Coturnix japonica: one gene and its partner. The protein of the gene in region 1 purifies or fractionates together with the protein of each later gene. This does not show direct contact. Links are inferred from orthologs where the notes say so. Each region holds a gene or a part of one and is shown on either strand. Other genes may lie near its edges.

Region 1 (4,319 bases):
TTTAAACAATAACAGTTTTAAAATGTTCATTTCCTTCTCGTCCCACTTACATGAAGGTGGAAGTACACGCACCAGCATCTGCAATGGCACACCAAGTGCCTCGAGCACACTTGCATCATGTATTTGTTTCCATAAATCAGTCAGAGAGCAGCTTCTACTCAAAGCGCAGCACTGGAGGCACCCTGTTAGCTTCCCATTCTTGTAGGGACAAAAACCAGCAGGTGGCAGGTTGGCAGCTAGGGGAAAAGTGAATCTAGGCATGACATCAAGTGCTCCATTTGTACCACACCTCTGTGTCTGGACATCCAAGCTGCTGCACCACAAGCAGCAGACAGGCAAACAACAGCCCTGCCAGAGGGCAAGATGCTCCATGCGGGTTATCTCCAGGTACCTGGAACAGGCTGCAATGATCCCAGTTGGAAACAACAAAAACCCACAAAACTCCAAGAAACCACCAGCACGCAGCATCACCTGCAGAGCACAGAGCCAGTTCTCTGTGATCAAACTGAGCTTCTTCAAGCTGGCTTCTGCAGAATGAGCCTGCCTAGAAGCACAGCCACCATGTGCTAAGTGTGGTCAACTAGCACTCAGTTACACACCCTTACTGATCCACAGAAACAGGCTCTTCAAGGGCTCTGAAACAGCATCAGCTCCAATGGAAACAAGAGTCCTTGCAAGGACTTGAGATTATGAGGTTGAAGTGGGAAATAATGGGCACATGGACGGCACCTGTGAAGCACCAGGCCCAGGATAAAGCACTGGGACACTTAACCCATTCCTAGACAGCTCTGAGAAAACATTATGGCTTTTCCCAGACTGCCAAGTCTGAACTATTCAAGTCAGTAGAGATGAAGTCTGCCCAAACGACTGCAGAAACTCTGCACAGCTACATGACTGGGTAAAGAACAAGTGGAAATCCACACAGACAAGCACAGCAGCGCACACAGGAATGAATAACCCCAACTTCAGTCACACAGCAGTGCCACCAAAACAAAGATCTTGGGTTATGACCCACACTCCCGCCAGCCCAGCAATCCAAAAATCCAACCAAGTGCCAGCCAGAGCAAACTTCACCCTTACATAAAACCAAAACGTTGCTGACCCTGAACAGAACCAGCAGTTCTTCCCCCTCAAAAGCTCAGACCCAGCTACTACAGATACTTTCCACAGAGGGAAAACAGCTCTCTCAGACCTCAGCTCACCACAACTGCAACCATCTTCTCTCCTTCACCACACAGCAGTTTCATACCTTAAACTGCAACCCAACTGTCCTTCATATCAGATCTCTAAATTGACAGTTATTTTGAAGATCAAGCAGAAAATAGCTTGCCAGCCTGACAAGAGCCATTCAGAATGCTTACACAGCTAAAAAGGTTTGATATCAAAGGGGCAGAAGGTTGGACTAATTGACCACAGCTCAATTAAAAGTTAGCTGGAAGCATTCAGTAAGCACTTTTCTATCAGATGAATACTTGATTTCAAGATCAGTCAGGAAAACCCAGCTCCTCAAGATATTATCCACAAGAGAGAGGGGAACAAAGAGGGTACCACCCAGCTGAGAACACAAAGGAAACAGCAAGCAGAGCAGATCAAACACAAAGAGCATCTCCCATTCACTTTACTTTCCAGCACTCACAGCCCAACAGACGCCCAGCCTGGAAATCAAACTGACTTACCACAAACAGCAACCCAGCACATCAGCCTCTAAGAGATCAAATACAGTCACAGTGAAATCACCTGGATAACTACCTGGTTACCTTTCTGTCTGCGTGGCAAAATGAACAGGAATATTAAGGCTCCGCAAGCAGAACAGCCACATACAAAGCCCAAACACATGTGCCAAAGCTTTACTGATTAATTTTAACAAGACCTGGGACTCACCTGGTGCAGAAACCAAGATCTGGCATCGGGTAAGAATGGCCAGGAGAAAGTCGTTGTGTGAGTGGACTGCATGAAGACAGACAGCTCATTAGGAACACACTGGTGGTCACAGGCGCTGGCTCAAAGTGGGTCTCCGTGTCTCCTCACAGCCATGTTTTCACCATTCACTTAGCTACAAAGTCACAACTCCCAATATAAAGTTTTTTAAGAGGTCTTTTTTGGTTTTGTTTTTCTCTTTGCTTAACCCAGAACCTGCTGCTAGAAGGCATACAGGTGCAAGCTGGACAGCTTCTCAGTGCACCATGCACAAACCCAGCCCTAGAGCACAATGCATGGCAGCTCAGCTGCACTTAGCCAGCAACAAGGAGGCCTGGCTGCCCTCCCTCCCATACACCTTCTGGCAGCAGGGCTTAGGGTTTGGTTTAAAGGAATAAAAGAGTTAAAATAAAGACACAAGGAGAGCCAGCACTGAGAGCGGAATACTCAGTACAAGAGAGCCATGGAGTACAAGAGAGATATGGACCTGTTGGGAGGGCCAGAAAAGCGACCCAAGGGATGGAATAACCATCATAAGGAGAGATATATGGAGAGGACAAGGCTCTGGAGACACCTGAGAGCGGCCTATCAGTATGTACTGTAGGCAGCCAAGGCCATGGATGGGCTGTAGGCACTGCTGGAGCCGGGGTGTCCCTGCTCAGTGCAGGGAATGGGACCAAACGGGACCAAACGGGACCAAACGGGACCAAATGGGACCAAATGGGACCAAATGGGACCAAAATGGGACCAAATGGGACCAAAATGGGACCAAATGGGACCAAATGGGACCAAACGTCCCCCACGGCCGCTCCGTTACCGTTGTCCTGCGTGAGCAGCCGCCGCGCCTCCAGGTCGAACTCCTCCTTGCTGATCTTCTGCTTGAACCACAGCTTCAGGTTGGCCCAGTACCTGCGGGAGAGAGGTTATGGCGGCGTTATGGCGGCGTTATGGCGGTGTTACGGCTCGGCGGTGTGTGCCGATGCTGGGTGCGGCGCTCACTGTTTCACGTTCTCTCCCAGCGCCTCGCTCAGGCTCTTCTTGGCCGCCTCCAGCTCGCTCACGTAGGTCGCCATCGCCGCGGAGCACGGGAGCGCGGAAGTCGCGAAACGCCGTAAAGCGCGGCGCTACGTTACGACAGCGGAGGACACGCCCCCCCTTACCCCGAGCCGAGCGGATCCGAACGGAGCCGAACAGATCCGAACGGACAGTGAGCGGAGCGGTGCTGTCACCATGCCGGGGCTGCTGCTGGGAGACGAGGCGCCCAACTTCGAGGCGGACACCACGCAGGGCCGCATCCGCTTCCACGACTTCCTGGGAGACTCGTGAGCAGCACGGCGGGGGAACGGCGGGGGGCGGAGGGGGAACCGGGGCGAGCTCAGCCTGTGTGTCCCGGCCTGGGGACGGAAGGTGGGGGGGGGGTGGGAGAAGAACGGGCCGCTCTCGGCTGGAGTGATACAGTGAGCTTCGGAACCCATAACCCTGCGATCCTCTTTCAGATGGGGCATCCTCTTCTCCCACCCCCGGGACTTCACCCCCGTCTGCACCACGGAGCTGGGCCGGGCGGCCAAGCTGGCATCTGAGTTCAGCAAACGCAATGTGAAGATGATAGCGCTCTCCATTGACAGCGTGCCCGACCACCTGGCATGGAGCAAGGTAGGATTGTGATTCTAAGCCAAACAGGGTGCTCATGGAATCACAGAACCCTTACAGTTGGAAGGGACCTCTAAAAGCCATCTAGTCCAACCCCCCTGCAGGGAACACCACAACTAAACCAGGTTGCCCAGGGCATCATCCAGCCTCACACTGAAAGCCTCTCCCTCACCCTGCAGGGATGGGACACCAACCACATCGTTAGGGCCACCATATCACTCGTGTCCAGGCAGGGGAAAGCACACAAAGAACAAGCAGTGACACGTTGAATATAAAAGTACAAATAAGAGCGTGTTAAATATGAAACGGTCATAGGGAAATAGAAGAAAGGTGGCACAGAAATAGCTTGTTTAAGGAACCAGAAAAGCTGCTCATGGAAAACTTCAAAGGCAGTGTCAACAGTGGTGTGCTGCCAGGTAGCATGACTCTACATATTAGGGGTATAAAATGAGTACTGAGTGGCCAGAGTACAGGACTCTGAGTGAGTTATCTGCTTCTTTCTTTACTCTTAAAAGTGGGAATGTTCTGTCATGTTTTCCAGCAGTCAGACGTATGCAAATAAGAAGTAATAAAGGTGAGAAATTTCCACATTCAAACACTACTTCATGTCTGAATGGCTTTAGAAATTGCCTGATTGCCTTATTGCTTAAATCGACCTTTGTGCCTGAGTGGTGCATAGCTGATGTCCCACCAGGCCTCAGAAGGGCCAGGGAAAAACAGCATCTAAACCCACACCAGTTACTGAGACCTTT
Region 2 (3,809 bases), on another chromosome or scaffold:
AGGTTTTTTTGGTAACATTTGCTCAGACTGGTTTATCTGCTCTTCTTCCAGTTCCAGCACCAATCCGAGCTTTTGAGACAAACCTCTTTGGAGGGTCGAGTTAAACATCCGATTGGTTTTCAGTCTTTTGTGTGTTCATGTGTGGTCCTTTCATTTCCACCTCCCCAGTGCCCCCTGCCCCCTATGACAAGTGGAATTTCCTTATTTTGTGTTGGTGTTTACATCTCACCTGCATGGGTGGACATGCAGAACTGCTGTTCTGGATATTCCTGCATACAACAGCGTGCTTGCCCAGCGTTGCAGATCAATTGCTTTGAGCATCTGAAAAACCAAAGCTACTGGAAGAAGATGGAAGAACTGAAGGTAACAAAGGTAAGCCTGCTGCTCAGAACACAGCTTTGAGAGTTGAGTGTGGAAGGAAACTATCTGTAAAGTTACAAAGAAAGTAGTGCTACTGTGCAAAACAGGATTACTGCAGGAACAGCCATCTGCATTTAGAGCTGAGGTGTCTCACTGGTTGCTTTTGCTTGTTCCAAAAACAGTTCACTAAAATCAGAGATAAAGTTACTACTAAAAAGCACAGAAGAAATATACCATTTATTACAGCCTTATAAGTATAATTAGATCTGCTGGGAATCATTGGCATCGGCCCACCCTCTAGACAAGGACTGTCAAGTGATTAGATACTGGTGGGGACTACTGGTGTTCATACTAGCAAAAGCAGACTGCTGCATTTAAGACTTTGATGCTTTATTTTTCTCTTAATTTATGACTGTTATGTTTCAGTGCTGTCTCCTCCAGTTAAGTGTTGCCAGACTTTATTAATGGCGAGGGTGTGGCAGACGCAACTCATTTACTTTCTGAATATCACATTGGGCAGAATGCTGTGTGGGCTTTGCTTTCTAGCTGCTTCTCTCCCATAAAACTCCTTTTCCATGAGAGTTCCATACAAGAGAATGTGTCTTTATAAGTTCAGTCAGCTCTTCAGTATGTGTGCATCAAAAGTTGATGTTTTTAGGATGCTCCAATTAGTTGTGCAGTAGCTTAGCTGTAGTTCAGTGCATTGTACCTGTTCTATTTCAGATGTCAGTCTAAGAGTCAGTTTAGCAGCTGCAGTCATTGCTCCCTCAAGGATAAGAGTCATAGATGCTCCTTTACCTTTTTCCCTTTCCAGTTAAGTAAGTTCTCATGTTTTACTATGTTCACCATTTCTTATTTTTATCAGGGTCTGAGGTATTCACGTTTCAGCCTTATCTGTTTTGCAGGTTGTTTTGTGTTGGTTCATTCAAGTGATGCCATAGCGTAAGAAGCACCTTTGTTTTTTTTTAACCCATGGAAGACCAACACTGAAGACCAATCAAGAGCAAAGCAGGAGAGCCTGTGGAGTTGTAACTGGTTGTCTGGAAGCTTTGAGGAAGATTGATTCTTCTTGGGGTCACAGGGAAACAAGGTCCAGCCTCAGGCATGTAATAAATGATGTTTAATAAATGATTCCAAAAAAAGCTGCCTTTATGTGTTTGCTTTTACTTCTGATTTTTCTACTAGATACCAAGGAAAAAAAAATATAGGGTGAGTCTCCAGATGGACCTGCTGGGTTTCCCAATTGTCTTCTGTGCTGCGCAGGCTGACTTTGAATGCTGCTGCTAACCAGGGGGCCAAGTCTTCCAGGGAGAAACAGGGAGAGAGTTTTCTGCTCAAAATACCCCAGTGCATCTCAACTATGCCCAGGGAGCCTCACAAGCATCTGTTGGCACAGATTGGTTTAAATAAAAACAGTAAGTTGTGAATAGATGATAAAGGAGAGAAGTAGGCAGGAGATACCAACTGAACGTTTCTCTACTTACACAGCGTGTTCATCTTTCTGCTTTATATCGTTTGCAGAGACGTGTAGACCGGAGATTGACATAGACTCCTATGTGTGCAGAGTTGCAGCATCACACCATATTTCAGGCTGCTGCACCAAATTAACTATTTAACACTTTGTTAATATTGTGCACACATTTGTTGCCTCCCAGCATGAGAATAAAGCAGATGATTGCACTGAGCTTTCTGCCCAATAGAAGTTACTGCAATATACATGAGGAACTTTGTCCTGCACTGTGAATAAACAGAAGCGCCAGGAAGCTGTTGGAAGGAGGGCTGTGTTTCATTAGATACAGAAAAGGAGATTTCAGAGGGCTCTGTACCCATCGCCTGCAGCTCAATGTGCAGCTCCAGCTGATGTAGTGCCGTTTCTCTCTGGTAACATAGCAACTGGACCACACCTCCTCCTGCTGAAAGATGCTGAAGAGCCCTTTCAGCACTGCCTGGTGTACTGCAAGGGAACTGTACCGTTTTTAATTAGCTCAGCATTGCCAGCTGATACTCCTTTATTTTTTTTCACCTGTAGAATGGCAAGGCAATTCTTTGTTCTCTATCACGTCATTTCTTTCAGTCATGGTTTACGTAGTAATTCTGTCTATATCGCAAAAGAGGACCGCGTTCATTTTAAATTGATAGCAAAATTGTATGTATGTCTGTGCTTTATTTTTCTTCTTATTTTGAAGTAAACTTTTGATTAAAAAATCAGTATTCTTGTCCACCTGATGACCTTGTTTAGCACTCCTGTATGGTGGCAGTCTGTTAATGTTTTGGAAGAGTACTCAAGGACTTGAGCATGTTTTTCTTCTCGCTTAGACTTTGCAAATGACTGAAAGCTTTCCCCACTCCTAACCTCTCTTCTGTTGTGCAACAAAAGAGCATTCCTTTAAGCACGTTGGTTTCCAAGCACAAGAAACCGTCTCTGGGCGTTACTGAACGTTTGACTTAAGGTGTGATGAATCCTCTTATGCCGAATTGACTTTTGTGATGTGTGTTGTAGATAAACGTTTGATGTAGTTAAAACAAGTGAGTGGAACTAGCACTGTTCAGAGTTGCTTTTTAAGGGTGTTTTGTTCAGTTCTCAGGCCTTGAATGGAAAGGAGGAAGCACAAAGTCTGTCCTGGATGTCACTGGCTTTTTGTTTGGCTTATACTGAGGCCGTTTCCTTTGCTGCCTGTCTTAGGAAGATAATTGTTGCATTTTATCAGTACAAAAACCTTACTTTGACTTTCTGACTTGCATGAGGGAAAGCCTTTTAAGTGGTCTGAGAACAAACTGATTTATTTTAATGTGTCATACTGTTGCAGTGTATCAGTTGTCATTGCCTTTGGGTACAAGCTTGAGGAGGGAACATGTTTTGGTGGCGGTTGGGAAAACAGCCTCTGCAAAATTAACGCTGTTGGTGTTGCTGTACTTTGAGTTTTATGTTCCTCTAAGAATTTAAAGCAAAAACAAACAAACAAAACCAAGCCATGGTGTAGTTGAGAAAGCTTGAGGCAGCTTGTGACTTGAGTACATCAAAACCAATAGCCTACCTAAACATAAAACTGTGTACTTGGAGCAACACGTACGTAGTAAATCTGTTGACACTACTGTGAAAATGGCATAAAAATGCAAATAATTTAAAAATACTATTTTTAAAATACAATAATGCTTACGGTTCCCTTCCCTTTCTGTCTTTATAGGTCTACGAGGGCTAATCAATCTTGGGAACACATGTTTTATGAACTGTATTGTCCAGGCACTTACCCACACTCCACTGCTGCGAGATTTCTTCCTCTCCGACAGGCACAAATGTGAAATGCAAAGCCCCAGCTCATGTCTGGTCTGTGAAATGTCTACGCTTTTTCAGGAGGTGAGTGCTGTTTGCTGCAATAGCATCACCTTTCCGCAGATGTTGGCTGTTTTGTATCCCAAAAGGGATTGTGTTCTATTTGCAAATGTAAAAG

Evidence for each region.
Region 2: the proteins of TADA1 (region 1) and USP22 purify together in Homo sapiens (affinity purification with mass spectrometry; 4 studies listed by BioGRID and IntAct, with this or other methods). This does not show direct contact. The link is inferred for Coturnix japonica from reciprocal best matches to the Homo sapiens genes TADA1 and USP22.

What each region holds. Positions count from the first base shown.
Region 1 is NC_029523.1:4,194,984-4,199,302, reverse strand, and holds the start of TADA1 (transcriptional adapter 1), read right to left. Parts: upstream 3,028-4,319; 5' UTR 2,991-3,027; coding exon 2,917-2,990; intron 2,827-2,916; coding exon 2,735-2,826; intron 1,948-2,734; coding exon 1,882-1,947; intron 1-1,881. Other genes in the region: PRDX6 (peroxiredoxin-6), read left to right, coding at 3,148-3,239, 3,414-3,570. UniProt on the Homo sapiens protein: Probably involved in transcriptional regulation.
Region 2 is NC_029529.1:4,653,665-4,657,473, forward strand, and holds part of USP22 (ubiquitin carboxyl-terminal hydrolase 22), read left to right. Parts: intron 1-3,545; coding exon 3,546-3,715; intron 3,716-3,809. UniProt on the Homo sapiens protein: Deubiquitinase that plays a role in several cellular processes including transcriptional regulation, cell cycle progression or innate immunity.